Macaca mulatta: one gene and its partners. The protein of the gene in region 3 interacts with the protein of the main gene of each other region in a biochemical or structural test. Links are inferred from orthologs where the notes say so. Each region holds a gene or a part of one and is shown on either strand. Other genes may lie near its edges.

The links.
Region 1: the proteins of NHERF2 (region 3) and PRKCA form a complex in vitro, tested with the Homo sapiens proteins (2 studies listed by BioGRID and IntAct, with this or other methods). The link is inferred for Macaca mulatta from reciprocal best matches to the Homo sapiens genes NHERF2 and PRKCA.
Region 2: the proteins of NHERF2 (region 3) and SGK1 form a complex in vitro, tested with the Homo sapiens proteins (2 studies listed by BioGRID, with this or other methods). The link is inferred for Macaca mulatta from reciprocal best matches to the Homo sapiens genes NHERF2 and SGK1.

What each region holds. Positions count from the first base shown.
Region 1 is NC_133421.1:76,041,975-76,046,051, reverse strand, and holds the start of PRKCA (protein kinase C alpha type), read right to left. Parts: upstream 2,813-4,077; 5' UTR 2,766-2,812; coding exon 2,593-2,765; intron 1-2,592. UniProt on the Homo sapiens protein: Calcium-activated, phospholipid- and diacylglycerol (DAG)-dependent serine/threonine-protein kinase that is involved in positive and negative regulation of cell proliferation, apoptosis, differentiation, migration and adhesion, tumorigenesis, cardiac hypertrophy, angiogenesis, platelet function and inflammation, by directly phosphorylating targets such as RAF1, BCL2, CSPG4, TNNT2/CTNT, or activating signaling cascade involving MAPK1/3 (ERK1/2) and RAP1GAP.
Region 2 is NC_133409.1:39,239,238-39,243,548, forward strand, and holds the start of SGK1 (serine/threonine-protein kinase Sgk1), read right to left. Parts: upstream 2,813-4,311; 5' UTR 2,743-2,812; coding exon 2,214-2,742; intron 1,506-2,213; exon of another isoform or gene 1,452-1,505; coding exon of another isoform or gene 1,376-1,451; intron 1,231-1,375; coding exon 1,155-1,230; intron 719-1,154; coding exon 643-718; intron 191-642; coding exon 86-190; intron 1-85. UniProt on the Homo sapiens protein: Serine/threonine-protein kinase which is involved in the regulation of a wide variety of ion channels, membrane transporters, cellular enzymes, transcription factors, neuronal excitability, cell growth, proliferation, survival, migration and apoptosis.
Region 3 is NC_133425.1:3,253,155-3,257,298, reverse strand, and holds the start of NHERF2 (Na(+)/H(+) exchange regulatory cofactor NHE-RF2), read right to left. Parts: upstream 2,829-4,144; 5' UTR 2,728-2,828; coding exon 2,515-2,727; intron 1-2,514.

The DNA of each region.
Region 1 (4,077 bases), on a different chromosome or scaffold from region 3:
ACTTTTAACATTTAATTTTGGCTTAAGGAACCAGATGCTAGAAAATATCATTCCTATTGTTTGCATTTGAGATTACCATGATCTAATTTCGACTGAGAACCGACAGCAGTCAAAGCACGTACGGAGGGTATTTTGTTCTTGTAAATGACTTTAGAGAATTTACTCTGTAAGCAGAGAACCCTGACATGGACATTCAATTGCAGGTATTGTTCTACTAGGATTAACTGCATTAACATTTCTTCAGAAGGCTGAGCGTCATAACCTCTTGCTTCACATAGAATGTTTAATGCACAAAGTATTTCACATACTTTTAAAATTAACTTAAGAGTCATCCCCCCTCACCAAAAACCATAATGAACTCTAAACATTTCACTTAAAAATATCAGTGATTTAATATTGAAATAAACTTGCAAATCAAGGACCCCGTAGAAACAACAATGAAAGCAAACTGAAAAAGACAATCCCTGTAGATGGTTTCCTGGGACTTCCAATTGGTTGGTTTACAATTAAATGCAGAGAGCTGCAGGGATACTCAGGGGGGCCTTTATCTTCCACTTCACAACACTGCTAGTGACCTGAGCGCCTCTTCAGCTCACCAAGGGCTGATCCTTCAAGGGCAACTGACAGTGGAAAGACACTAGCTAGCCTCGGTCGGCTGCAAGTCCCTTTCTAACTCTCCCACTTCCTGCAAAAGTCACCAGCAGTCTGTTCCCTTTTAATGGACTCTCACAGTTGACCACCTCCTCTTAACCAAATGCAATATTCTCTTTGCCCTGATGCTCCGAAATTGTATTTTAAATAGCCTTATCTACGATTACCTACTCCTTTGAGCACAATCGCTTCATATGCTGACTAGACAGTGGAAATCACTCATAGAGGTGGCTGTGCTTTTCGTAAAAGTGTACTTGGGAGCAGATGTCTAAAAAGGAAAGGAAAAATTAAACACCTTATCAGCACCACGATCATGGGACCTGACCTTTGGGATGTTTTTCCCCAGGTGTGATGGATTCAGACAGATCCATCCATATTATGTTCACTCTAGTGGCCCAAGATACCTGTGCCACACAGCTGGCTGGTGGCAGGATTCACTCCATGACTGCCACCCTGGGTAGCTCCCCCTGGCCTAGAAGGGGAGGGAGCTAAGAAGCCCTAGCCATAGCTCTGTCTTGTCAGGAAATTGCTACACGACAAAGAAGAGGTAGAAGAGTCAGGGCATCCGGCAATCTAAGAGAAAAACCAAACTACTGCTGCTCTAACTAGAGGACCTAGAGCTCCTTTAGTTCCAGCTTTCTAAACTTCTGTGTGGTGACGGGGAGCTGGGAAGAAGGGTCACACACTTTTGAGAATCAGATGAAAGCTGTAATTCTCTCACCAGCAAAAAGATTCACAAACACAATTTCACCCAGTTTTGCAGGGTTCAGAGACCCCTGAAGCCCTTCTATGTATCGATTCTCCATAAGCCCCCAAGGATCCTCCGAGTTAAGAATGCCTGAATTCATTGGCGATTACCTGAACTCTGACACCTCTGGCCCTTATGTTATTTTTCTTAAATAAGGCCTCTGTCCTCATCAACAGGGTTACAGGTCTAATCTCGTGTTGACAGGGTCTATTTTAATTTTTTTTGAGACGGAGTCTCGCTCTGTCTCGACCAGGCTGGAGTGCAGTGGCCCGATCTCGGCTCACTGCAGCCTCCGCCTCCCGGGTTCAAGCGAGTCTCCTGTCTCAGCCTCCCGAGTAGCTGGAATTACAGGCGTCTGCCACCACGCCCGCAAATTTTGTACTTTTAGTAGTACGGGATTTCACCATGTTGGCCAGGCTGGTCTCGAACACCTGACTTCAGGTGATCCGCCTGCCTCGGCCTCCCAAAGTGCTGGGATCACAGGCGTGAGCCACCGCGCCTGGCCGACAGGGTCTATTTTAAATGAGTCCCTCTGCCCTTGTGCCATTTGCCTGCTCGAACTCTCCCTCCCCCACTGCAAGCTTTCAACAGTTTGTTCTCTCTCTCTCTGCTCACTCAGAAAAGTCAAAGTCTGTCCGTGCCCAGTAGATGCAGCCTACAGTAGGCAGGGGCCCAAGATTCCAGCGCGGTCCAGCCCGATGGGAAGCACAAACACACCCCCCCGAACGCGCCCAGCCTGGCTCGCCAGCAACTTGGACCGCGCAGCGCAATCGCCGCCGCTCCCCCGTTACTCCGGGACGCGTTTCTCCGGGAACCTTCGCTCCTTCGGGCCTCTCCTCCTCCCCTGTCCACTGGGCTCCCACCCCGGCAAGCGGCCGCTCCGCTGGGTGCGTGCGGGTGGACGCCCCCGGGGAGGTGACGGGCCCGGCCCGGGGAAAGATCCCCGCCGCCACCGCACGGGGCCAGCCTCCCTCCGGCGCCAGGGGGTGTGTGTGGCGGGGCGGCGACGTCCCGGGAGTCCTGCCCGCCGGTGTCAGGGCCGGGAGCGCGTGTCACTCCGGGCGAGAGTTCGGACTCCCGCCGGTTCCAAGTTCTCGGAGTGAGCCAGCCCCGGGGCGGACTTGCCGGCGCGCCGGGGACCGGGACCCAGGGGCGGGGAGGAGCGGGGCAGGGGTGCCCGGCCCGGCACCTACCAGATGAAGTCGGTGCAGTGGCTGCAGAAGGTGGGCTGCTTGAAGAAGCGCGCGATGAATTTGTGGTCCTTCACCTCGTGCACGTTCTTCTGCCTCAGCGCCCCTTTGCGGGCGAAGCGGTTGGCCACGTCCTGAGACGCCGTGGAGTCGTTGGCCGGGAAAACGTCAGCCATGGTCCCCCCCAACCACCTCTTGCCTCCGCCGGGGAGCGGCGGCCGCGGAGGGCCGGGTGGGCGGGGGCGGCGGCGGAGAGGTGCGGGCTCGGGGCGACCCCGGGCGGGGGGCGCGGGCCGGTGGCCGAGGTCGCGGCGAGGGGGCGCGGCGGGGACCGGGGAGAGTCAGGCCGGTGCGGCGCAGAGCGGGAGCGGGAGCCGGAGCCGGAGCCGGAGCCTGAGCCGCTGGCTCGCCCGCTGGCCCCAGGCTCACTGACAGCCCGGCGCCCGGCGCTCGCGCTTCCTACTCGCGGCGGCAGAGGCGGCCCGGAGCGGCGCCGCCCACCGCGCATGCCCCGAGCGCGAGGCCGCGCGGACGAGAACGGCGGGGGCGCGCGGGCCAGGAGCGCGCGGGGGGGGGCGGCGGCGGCGCCGAGCGGGCCGCGCCGAGTGCGGAGGAGGCAGAGGGCGCCTGGCGGTGCTGGGAAGACTGAACAGGGAGAGGCGGCGGCGGCGGGCGGCCCGGGGAGGGCCAGCCCGAGTGGGGATGCGGAGGAGGAGGAGGGCGGGAGTGGCGGGTGCGCGCTCCTCCGCCGCCTTTTTCTTTCCTCCCTTCCTGCTCCCGGCTCTCCACCCTCTCGCCCTCCTCCGCCTCAGTTCTCCTCCTCTTCTTCCGCTCCTGCCGTCCGGCCTCCTCCTCTCCCCGTCTTCCTCCTCCCACTCCCGCTCTCTCTCTGTCTTATCGACCGGCTCGGAGTCCTGCGCCGTCCGTGCCGGGCCGAGAGGAGCCCGCGTTCCGGAGTAGGCTCCACGCGCAGCCCCTGCCCCGGAGCCTCCCGCCCGGTGCTCACCCGCTAACCCCTGAGCACACGCAACAGGGAGTCCCTTCCCCATCTTCAGGACCCCCGATGTCTCCGGGGCACGACGCCCGTGTGTTAGCAGCCTGTACCAGCTTGAGGTTTCACCTGGCCAAAATGTCGCTTTCATCACGTGTGCCCTAAAGGACACAGGCTCTAGACCTTCCTACAGGAGGAAGACAGCGATTTTTAACTAATTAAGCATTGACCCTTTCCCCTACCTTCTCTTCTTGACCTATACCGTATTTCACCTGCGTGTCGTAGAGACTTTTAATTTGTACGTCGGGCATTTATCACCACGTGGGATGGTTAAAGGACTTGTCTTAGGTATTTATCCCGTTATTCACTGGCCATCAGAGGGACGATGTTGATTATCAGGCTTTCTTGATTTTGCAAGTCTAGGACCTTAATTTAGAAATCATTTTGCATCCCAAGCTAATTACTGCAATACTGTCAGGTGCAGAGTGCAGCCGGTA
Region 2 (4,311 bases), on a different chromosome or scaffold from region 3:
AATCATTTTTCTATCCTTATCCAGGGAGAATGTAAAATGAGGACATGAAGAAAGTGTACCAAAAGATCTTCAGATTCGAAATTACCTTTCCAAAACTGCCCTTCCCAATCACTTTCAAGAAGTGAAAGTCAGATGGTTTAGCATGAGGATTGGACGATGGGCCAAGGTTGATTTGCTGAGAAGGACTTGGCTAGGAAAAAAAGAAAAGGATTTCTCTTAATATCATTGCTTCAAAGGAAGACAGTTATAATATAAACGATGTAGAAGATGTTACATCTACAAATGACTGAGGCAAATGACCATACATCTGTCTATAAACATTCAAAACTACATTTCATCACAAGTCATTTCAAATGAGTATGGAAACTGCACACAATCATGTTGTTTCGGACAGATAAAACTTTTTAATGAAATATGCCTTTTAAAATAATCCACTTTGGAGGTAAAATACGCCCACGAAAAAATAAAATAATACTGACTGAATACTTAAATATTTGTTATCACTTGTTATGCCATAAAGTAATGAAGCATTCCTGCTTTGATACTAAATTCTAGAAATGCTATTTTAAACCATTAAGGCAGGAATACTAACTGACTCCCTTACAGTTCTCCACAGAGGCACTGCACATAGAAAATACTTACTGGAGGAGAAGGGTTGGCATTCATAAGCTCAGGCTCCTGAGGTTGGGAGATTTTCAAGATGGACTGAACTTCAGGGCTGCAGGGAATAAAGGGCACGATTCAGAATCCAGCTCGCCACTAGGGGGCATACCAACATCAAAAGTCGGTTTCTGGCTCTACCGTCTTCTACCCGGATAATTCGGTGTTTAAACTGAAAATACCCCAATATATTACTCAGTTAAAGAAAATAATAAACCCCGTTAAATACAGAAATAAGGATTGTTGCTCATGGAGAAAGGGAGTGAATTCGGCCAACACGAACCATTTATCTTACATCTCCAGTTCAAGCCAAAACAGCAAATTAACTTTAATGTTTAAAATGTGTCTAATATATTAAAATTTAAGGAGAAAAGAGATTCCCACCCCAGAAGAAGTCTTCGCCTTCCCGATAAACGCCGTGATGAGAATGTTTACTGCTGGCAAATTCAAACCAGACTAGTTATTCTTATTTCCTCAAATCCCGTCAAACTTACTGTTTGCATGCATAGGAGTTATTGGCAATCTTCTGAATAAAGTCGTTCAGGCCCATCCTCCTTTGCTTCATGAAAGCTGTGGATTAAGGAGGAGAAATAAAGAAACGTTTAGACGGCTTCATAACGTCCGGAGCCACATACACTAATCTGATGCCGGACTTTCAAAAAATTTCCACTTTGAGTCTCCTGGAGCATAAGTCCCGCCAGATTCCTGCACTCACCGATGAGAATTGCCACCATGCCCCTCATCCTGGAGTAAGTGAGGGTGCCCTTAGCTGCCTCGGTTTTCACCGTCATCACCACCGCGGGGAGACAGGAAGACGTTAGCGCTCGGAGACCGGCTCGGTGTGTGCTGCGCCGGGCCGCGCGCTCGGCCTTATAGGCGAGGCCCCGCCGCGGGGGCGGGGCCTGAGCGACAATGAGAAGCGGCCCCGCCCTTCGCCTCGCCCCTCCCTCCGCCCGGACCGCCTCGCGGTTTGCTGGCAGCGGTGCTGCCTGTGGCGGGCGGTTCTGTCCCCATTGAGAGGGCGAGCCCCGGGCAGGGGCGCGAGGACCGTCCGGGGAGGGCCTGGCGCGGGGCCGTTATCAGCCTCCATCGGCCCCCGAGGCAGAAGAGAGAGGGAACGCGCCAGCGGAGGGCGCGGGGAGGGCCGGAGAGCCCAGGGTAGTTTTCCACCTCTCATTTATTCCGCCGCCCGAGAAAGCCGGGGTCGCAGCGCCGAGGCGCTTCCCGGCGGGTGCGCGGCGGCCACGGTGGCTTCGCTCACTCCCTCCCTGCAGATTCCCTTTCCCCGGCCTGGCGCCGTCCTGCGGCCGGACCCCCACCTCCCTCCCCAGCCCAAGCCGGCGGTGCGCGCCACCCTCTGGGGTTTATCTCTGGGGCGCAGGGCGAAGCGCGCGACCTTGCCTGCCAGGTCCTCCCGTTCCCGCCGCCGGGACCCCGGCTCCCAGAACTCCGACGAAAGCCTGCCCCTGCGGACGAGCCCGCGAGCGGGGCAGGAGCCGAGCCGCTCTGGGGAAGTGAGCCAAGTCCCCAGAGGGGCCGGCGACCGCGCTTACCCAGTCCGCTCAGCAGGAAGGACTCGCTCCTTTTCTGCGCCTCGGCCCTCTTTTTGTGGCGGGGCCGCAGCAGGGACTCGAGCCGGGCCCTGGCCAGCGCGCCCTGCATCTCCCTCATGGGCAGCGGGCAGCGGGCGGCGGGGCGCACGGCAGGCGAGAGCGACCGGCGAGCACTGACGTTTCCTTGAAGGAGCCGCCGTGACTCAGGCCGGGCAAGATTTCCTGCCCCGAGTCCCAAAACAAACAAATGGCCCTTGTGCACGGTCGGGTCGCTTCCGAAAACGCCTTTTTTGTGCTTTTGGCCAAAACCAAGCAAGGCTGAAAAATCCCAGAACTTGGAAGAGGAGGAAGGAAGGAAAGAAAGAGGGAAGGGGGGGAGGGAGAGGTCAGGAATGTGGAGGGGAGGGGGCGGAAATAAAAGTCGTCTCTGCTCTAAAGGAAAAAGTACAATCTGCATTTCACTTTTTTTTTTCTGAAGTAATCTCTGAGAACATTTTGTCCGTTCCGCATGTAATTTTTTTCCTTGCATTTTTAATCTCTGCCATGCCAAGAACACGTGAGGAGGTAACAAGCGAAAGGAGGGGGTAGCTTTGCCCGGAGACCGACCTGGCGTGACCCGGGCATCCTCGATTCCTCTATGGGGCCTGCTTCTCTCCAGCTCTCCCACCTGAAAACCCTGCAGGTCACGATACATGATCTTAAAATCATCCCTACTCCTCCCTGGATTTAACTCAAGGCTGCCCCAGGGCTTGTCTTCGTTTTGCCACCTCGCTCTTTCTCTCGAGTCCCACAGAAACTGTGACTTTATCCTGAAAGATTAGCCGGGTGACCCTGCTGCAGAAGGCAGGGCAGGGAAGGGAGGGAAGCTGGAGGCGGCGGCCCGGGCTCTGCAGAGCAGCGATGCCGGTGCCTTCCAGTAACCCCGCGACTGGGGGATGTCTGGGAGCCGCAGGCTGACCGCCGGCGCGGGGACGTGAGCCAGTGCTGGCTGGGAAGCCGCGAGCGCAGCGATTGGGCCCAGAGCAGGCAGTTACAAGTTACCACTATTCGCAAGGCCAGGTACCTGGCGCTTGCTGTTGCTGTCTGCGGTGGCTGCCCTGCCATGACCTCTTGCTGCCAAGGGCTCTGCCATTTTAAAGTTGCCTACTAGATCTGGCACAGTCCCGAAATACCAGCTGTCAAACCAGGAATAGCATGTGAAACGCCTTTTCCTTGGTCTTGGGCAGGGGTTTGTTTTGCAGGCAAAACCACCCCCACTTGCCCTAAAGTGATCTCTAGTCTCAACTGCTTCTTGGTTTGCTTTGTTGCAACAGTCCCAAACCGAGAGAAGAGAAACACATTCTCTTTCCTGGAGTCTGGCTGGGAACGTTTTCTTAATGCCCACACTTAAAAAAAAGCACTTACTGGGGACGGGCGCAGTGGCTCACACCTGTAATCCCAGCACTTTGGGAGGCCGAGGCAGGTGGATGACGAGGCCAAGAAATCGAGACCATCCTGGCTAACATGGAGAAACCCCGTGTCTACTAAAAATAGAAAAAATTAGCCAGGCGTGGTGGTGTGCGCCTATAGTCCTAGCTACTCGGGATGCTGAGGCAGGAGAATCGCTTGAACCCGGGAGGCGGAGGTTGCTGTGAGCCGAGATCATGCTACTGCACTCCAGCCTGGCAACAGAGCGAGACTCGTCTCAAAAAATAAAAATAAAATAAAATTAAAAAAAGCACTTACTAGTACCTGAAATTGACATGCCAACCTAAAGCAATGTTTAGGCAATTTCAAATCACAGTAACTGGCCTATGTCTGCTTCCTTTTGCACGGAATCGTCATAAAATATGACTTTGTTATTGCCAATGCCACCCATACGTCATGTCCCACCATTCAACTAGCCTAGCTCAGCCTAGCCCTGCTCCCACCTGGTTCCTTCTCCTGTTGAGAGAGCAAATTGTGCTCAGGCTGTCCAGAAACATCAACCTGCACACAGACTTTTGCATGTTTGTTTTCAAACATTAAATTAAGAAATCTACAACCAGAGACCCTCTCCTACACCCCACCTTATGTGCCTTCCCCATGTCAAGTAACCCCAAATCCTCTGAGGCATCTG
Region 3 (4,144 bases):
CCCACCCCCAGACTCCAGAGGCTCCCTCCCTCGGCACCCGGGCTCTGGACACTGAGGTCCAGGCTGTGAGGGCTTCAGGGTCCTCCCAGAGCCTTGCCCTTAGCCCAGGGTCTTCTCCAGGCAGGGCTGGGAAGGGGCTGCAGGGTAGGGCAGCTGGGTAAGTCCCGTCTGGAAGTAACAAAGACGGCGCACAGTGGAGCTTCAGCTTTTCAGTCTGCCTGTTAGTGTGTGCACGTGCATCCATCTGTTTCAAAGTCTGTGTCTGCGTCCAGGTTTGAAGGAGAGGGGTGTCTCCCTGGGCCCCAGTTTGGGTGTGTCTGTGCCCATTCCTGTCATTCTCTGCCATGGGAGTCTAAACCCCTGACCCCAGGCCTTATGTCCACCTCCAGGCCATGACCATGGGCCCATTCCCACTGGACCTGTGAGGAGGGGAATGGCTGGACTCCTGGCTCGGGTACGCACACACAGCCAGGGAAGCAACATTCAGGTACAGCCGGCAAGGGGGAGGGGCAGTGAACAGCTATGGCATGGTGGCTGTCGGCGTGTGGGTACAGGTGCCTGTGAAGTGTCTGGACCATGCAGGGGGCCGGCGTGCACCCGCAGAGAGAAAGCAGTGTCCATTGGGAAGCGGGCGGGAAGACGGGCAGCCCTACTCCCACCTGCGGCCTGGGGGAGGGTGGACAGGGCTCCCCACCAGCCACCGGGCTCAGCAGGGGTGGTGAATAGATAGGAGGGACTGAGCCAGGCCCATCTGTCCCCTGGCCCTCCTCTCTCCCCATGACCCAGAGTGAGACAAGAGGAACCGAGTACCCAGCTGCTTCTTGACTATGTGTCCCAAACAAGTCACCCTAAATCTCTGGCATCAGTTTCCTCAACTGTCAAATGGGGCAGTAACTGCACCTCTTGCCCTCCTGGGGCAGTGGGGAGAGTCCACCATGGTCTGTGTGTCCAGTCCTCAGAGACCAGCACCCCAGGGCCTTGGATAAGCAGGTGTTCCCTGGGCAAGGGCGGCAACGACTATCAAACAGCAGCCAGGCCCCAGCCCTGCCAGCCCTACCCTCAATCCCTCAGGTCCAGGCCACTGGCCTGATCCCCACCTTCTTTTTTTTTTTTTTTTTTTTTTGAGGCGGAGTCTCGCTCTGTCGCCCAGGTTGGAGTGCAGTGGCGCGATCTCGGCTCACTGCAAGCTCCGCCTCCCAGGTTCCCGCCATTCTCCTGCCTCAGCCTCCCGAGTAGCTGGGACTACAGGTGCCGCCACCACGCCCGGCTAATTTTTTTGTATTTTTAGTGGAGACGGGGTTTCATTGTGTTAGCCAGGATGGTCTCGATCTCCTGACCTCGTGATCCGCCCGTCTCGGCCTCCCAAAGTGCTGGGATTACAGGCTTGAGCCACCGCGCCCGGCCCTGATCCCCACCTTCTTCAGCAAACAACCTTACACAGCAGACACTGGGTGGAAAGCATGGGGCTGGCCGACGGAGGGACAGACAAGGCACCAGGTGAACAGGAGACCAACTACAGGCCCAGCTGAACCAACTGCTAATCTTGGGGTTCCAGGACCAGCCATGCAGACAGGTTATGGATTCGCCAGTGGTGTGAGGGACAGGGGACCTGGAGGACAAGGGGTGTGTGGACACTGGACCCCCACCAGGGTGTGGTGGAAGTCCCTGGCCTGTGGGAGACAGACATACCTCAGGGGTCAGAACCCACAGAGAAAAGGCTCTGTTCTCCTTAGCCAGGAGGCAGGAGGCTTTATAGCAAGTAACCCCAGCCGGGCTAAGCAGCCTCTGAGGAGGGGTAGTGCCTTTGGAGCTAAGGAATGTGGTTGCCACCAATGGCCAACTCAACCCGGTCCCAGGCATACCGGCTGGGACACACTAGAGTACAGACACAGACTTACCAGCCTGCAGACACACAGTGATGAGTACACTAACCAGGTGTGCACACACACAGAGCTCAGCTCTCACATGCCCAGGAGTCCAGACCTGTACACACACACACACACACACGCAGACCTGTATACTCACACACACTCCAGCACACACACAACTGCAGACACACTGATGCCCTTACTGCAACCCCTCCTGGGTACACACAGGCAGGCGCGTGCACACTTGGCTGACCCCAGAGGGACCTGCACACACACGCCCAGCTGTGTTCACACGCACACGTGTACACACACCTACGCAAAAGCACCCAGGTCTCCACCTTTCTGGAGGGGCCCCAGGCTGCCCAACACCCTCCTTCATAGCACACTGAGGCCAAAACGCGACCAAAGAGCGAGGCCAACGGCCAGGAGCCGCAGTGCGGGCCCCTCCCTGCCAGGATGCCCCCCCACCCCTGTGCAGGGCTGAGCTTCCTGCGCGGGGACTCGGAAGGCGCCGGGCTGCTGCCTCCCGGCAATGTCCGCGTCCTCTCCGCGGAAGCCCCCTCAGGCCCCCGTGCGACCCCCGCCCGCCCCAGAGGGACGCGCTCAGGGAGGGGGCGGCGGGCCGGGGGTGAGCGCGGGCCCCCACCTGGTGGTGCGTCTCGCCCTCCACGTTGACGCCGTTGACCTCGACCAGGCGGTCCCCAGCGCGCAGCGCCGCGGCCTCGGCGGGGGAACCGGGTTCCACGCGCCGGATGAACTGCCCGCGGCGGCCCTTCTCGCCGTGCAGGTGGAAGCCGTAGCCCTGCTCTCCGCGCACCAGGCGGCACAGGCGCGGCCGCAGCGGCTCCGGAGCGGCCATGGCGCCCGCTGCCCACCAGCCGCCCGCGGGCAGGGGCGCGGGGCAGTTCGGGGGCGGCGGCGGCGCTGGGCACCCGGCGGTGGCTTCGGCGGCTCCCGTTCGGCTCCCGTCGCCTCGGGCTCCGGCTCGGGCTCCAGCTCGGGCTGCGGCACCGCCCCCGCGCCCGCCCCTTCCCCGCCCCCGCCCCCGCCCCTTCCCCGCCCCCGCCCCCGCCGCCCGGCCGCCCCCACCTCCGGTCCCAGCCATCCCGGCCTCCGTGGCCGGTCATCCCGACTGGGGGTGGGGGAAGGCGGCAGGACTAGGGGACCCCCCCAGCCACCAGGACCCCTCTGTCTCGCTCCTGCTCTGGGCAGCCGCCTTGGTGCCAGCGCCTTTGCCTTCTATCCCAGGAACATTTATTGGATACCTACTGTATGTGCAGCATCCAGGCAGGTCTTGAGGTGGGCGACGGGTTGGACAAAGGGTCTCCAGGACAAGGGACCCCCCCAAAGGGGCCAAAGGGTAACAACAAGGGCCACAGCCCTCCCCACCCTCCCGGGGAAGCCCTCCCAGACCCCCGTGCCTATCTCCTCTCCGCTATGCCTGATCTGGATCCCTCCTGCAGCCAGAACTGCCCTGGCCCAGGGGTCTCAGGAGGGCCCAGGAGGCAAAAAGAGGTTTAAACGTGACACGCAGCTGTCCCTCCCTGCATCCTGGGGGCCAGTGGCTTGAGACTCCCTGGCCTACCCTCCGTGTTTGGGCTATCTGCACCGCGTCCATTCCCGCCATTCTTTCCCTTGGCCGGGCCGGCACCCCTACTTGTGTCCCAGCCCACCCCAGGCCTGGACTGTGACTCTGCAGGGTAACGAAAGGATGAGTCTCGACATGGGCCTCCACTGACTTCTTTGGACTCTAAGCTCTGGGTGGTGGCCAGTGTGCACAGGCGTTGCTCCACAGTGTCCGCAGGCAGGCAGCAGGCCTCCTCTCCCCTGCCCACAGCCGTCTACGTCCCTGAGCCTCTACGTGAAGCACGAGTGTCCCTCCTTCCCCAACAGGACAGTCGCCACCACAGTGAAATCGTTTATGCTTGAGCGCATTTTACTTGGAACAACCCTAGGGGCTTGGCCACTTCACAGACCTGCAAACAGGCCTGGAGAGGGACCCACAAAGCTTCCTCAGCTCCCTTTGGGCCCAGGGATGTGAGATTCGGAGTCCATGCTCTTCACCACCCAGCTCTTCCTCTGTCTCCAATATAGGAAGACAGCTGAGTCCAGGCACAGCCCCAGTCTGCCCTCCTCCCCAGCCCAGCCAGGCCCCCCGCACATACCTGGTTCCCAGGGGTCAGGCACAGCCAGCCCAGGCAATTCCCCATGTGAGCAGTAGAAGCAGGCTTGGCGCAGTCCTCCTCTCCCTATCCTCTCTCTGGGGCCTTGGCCTG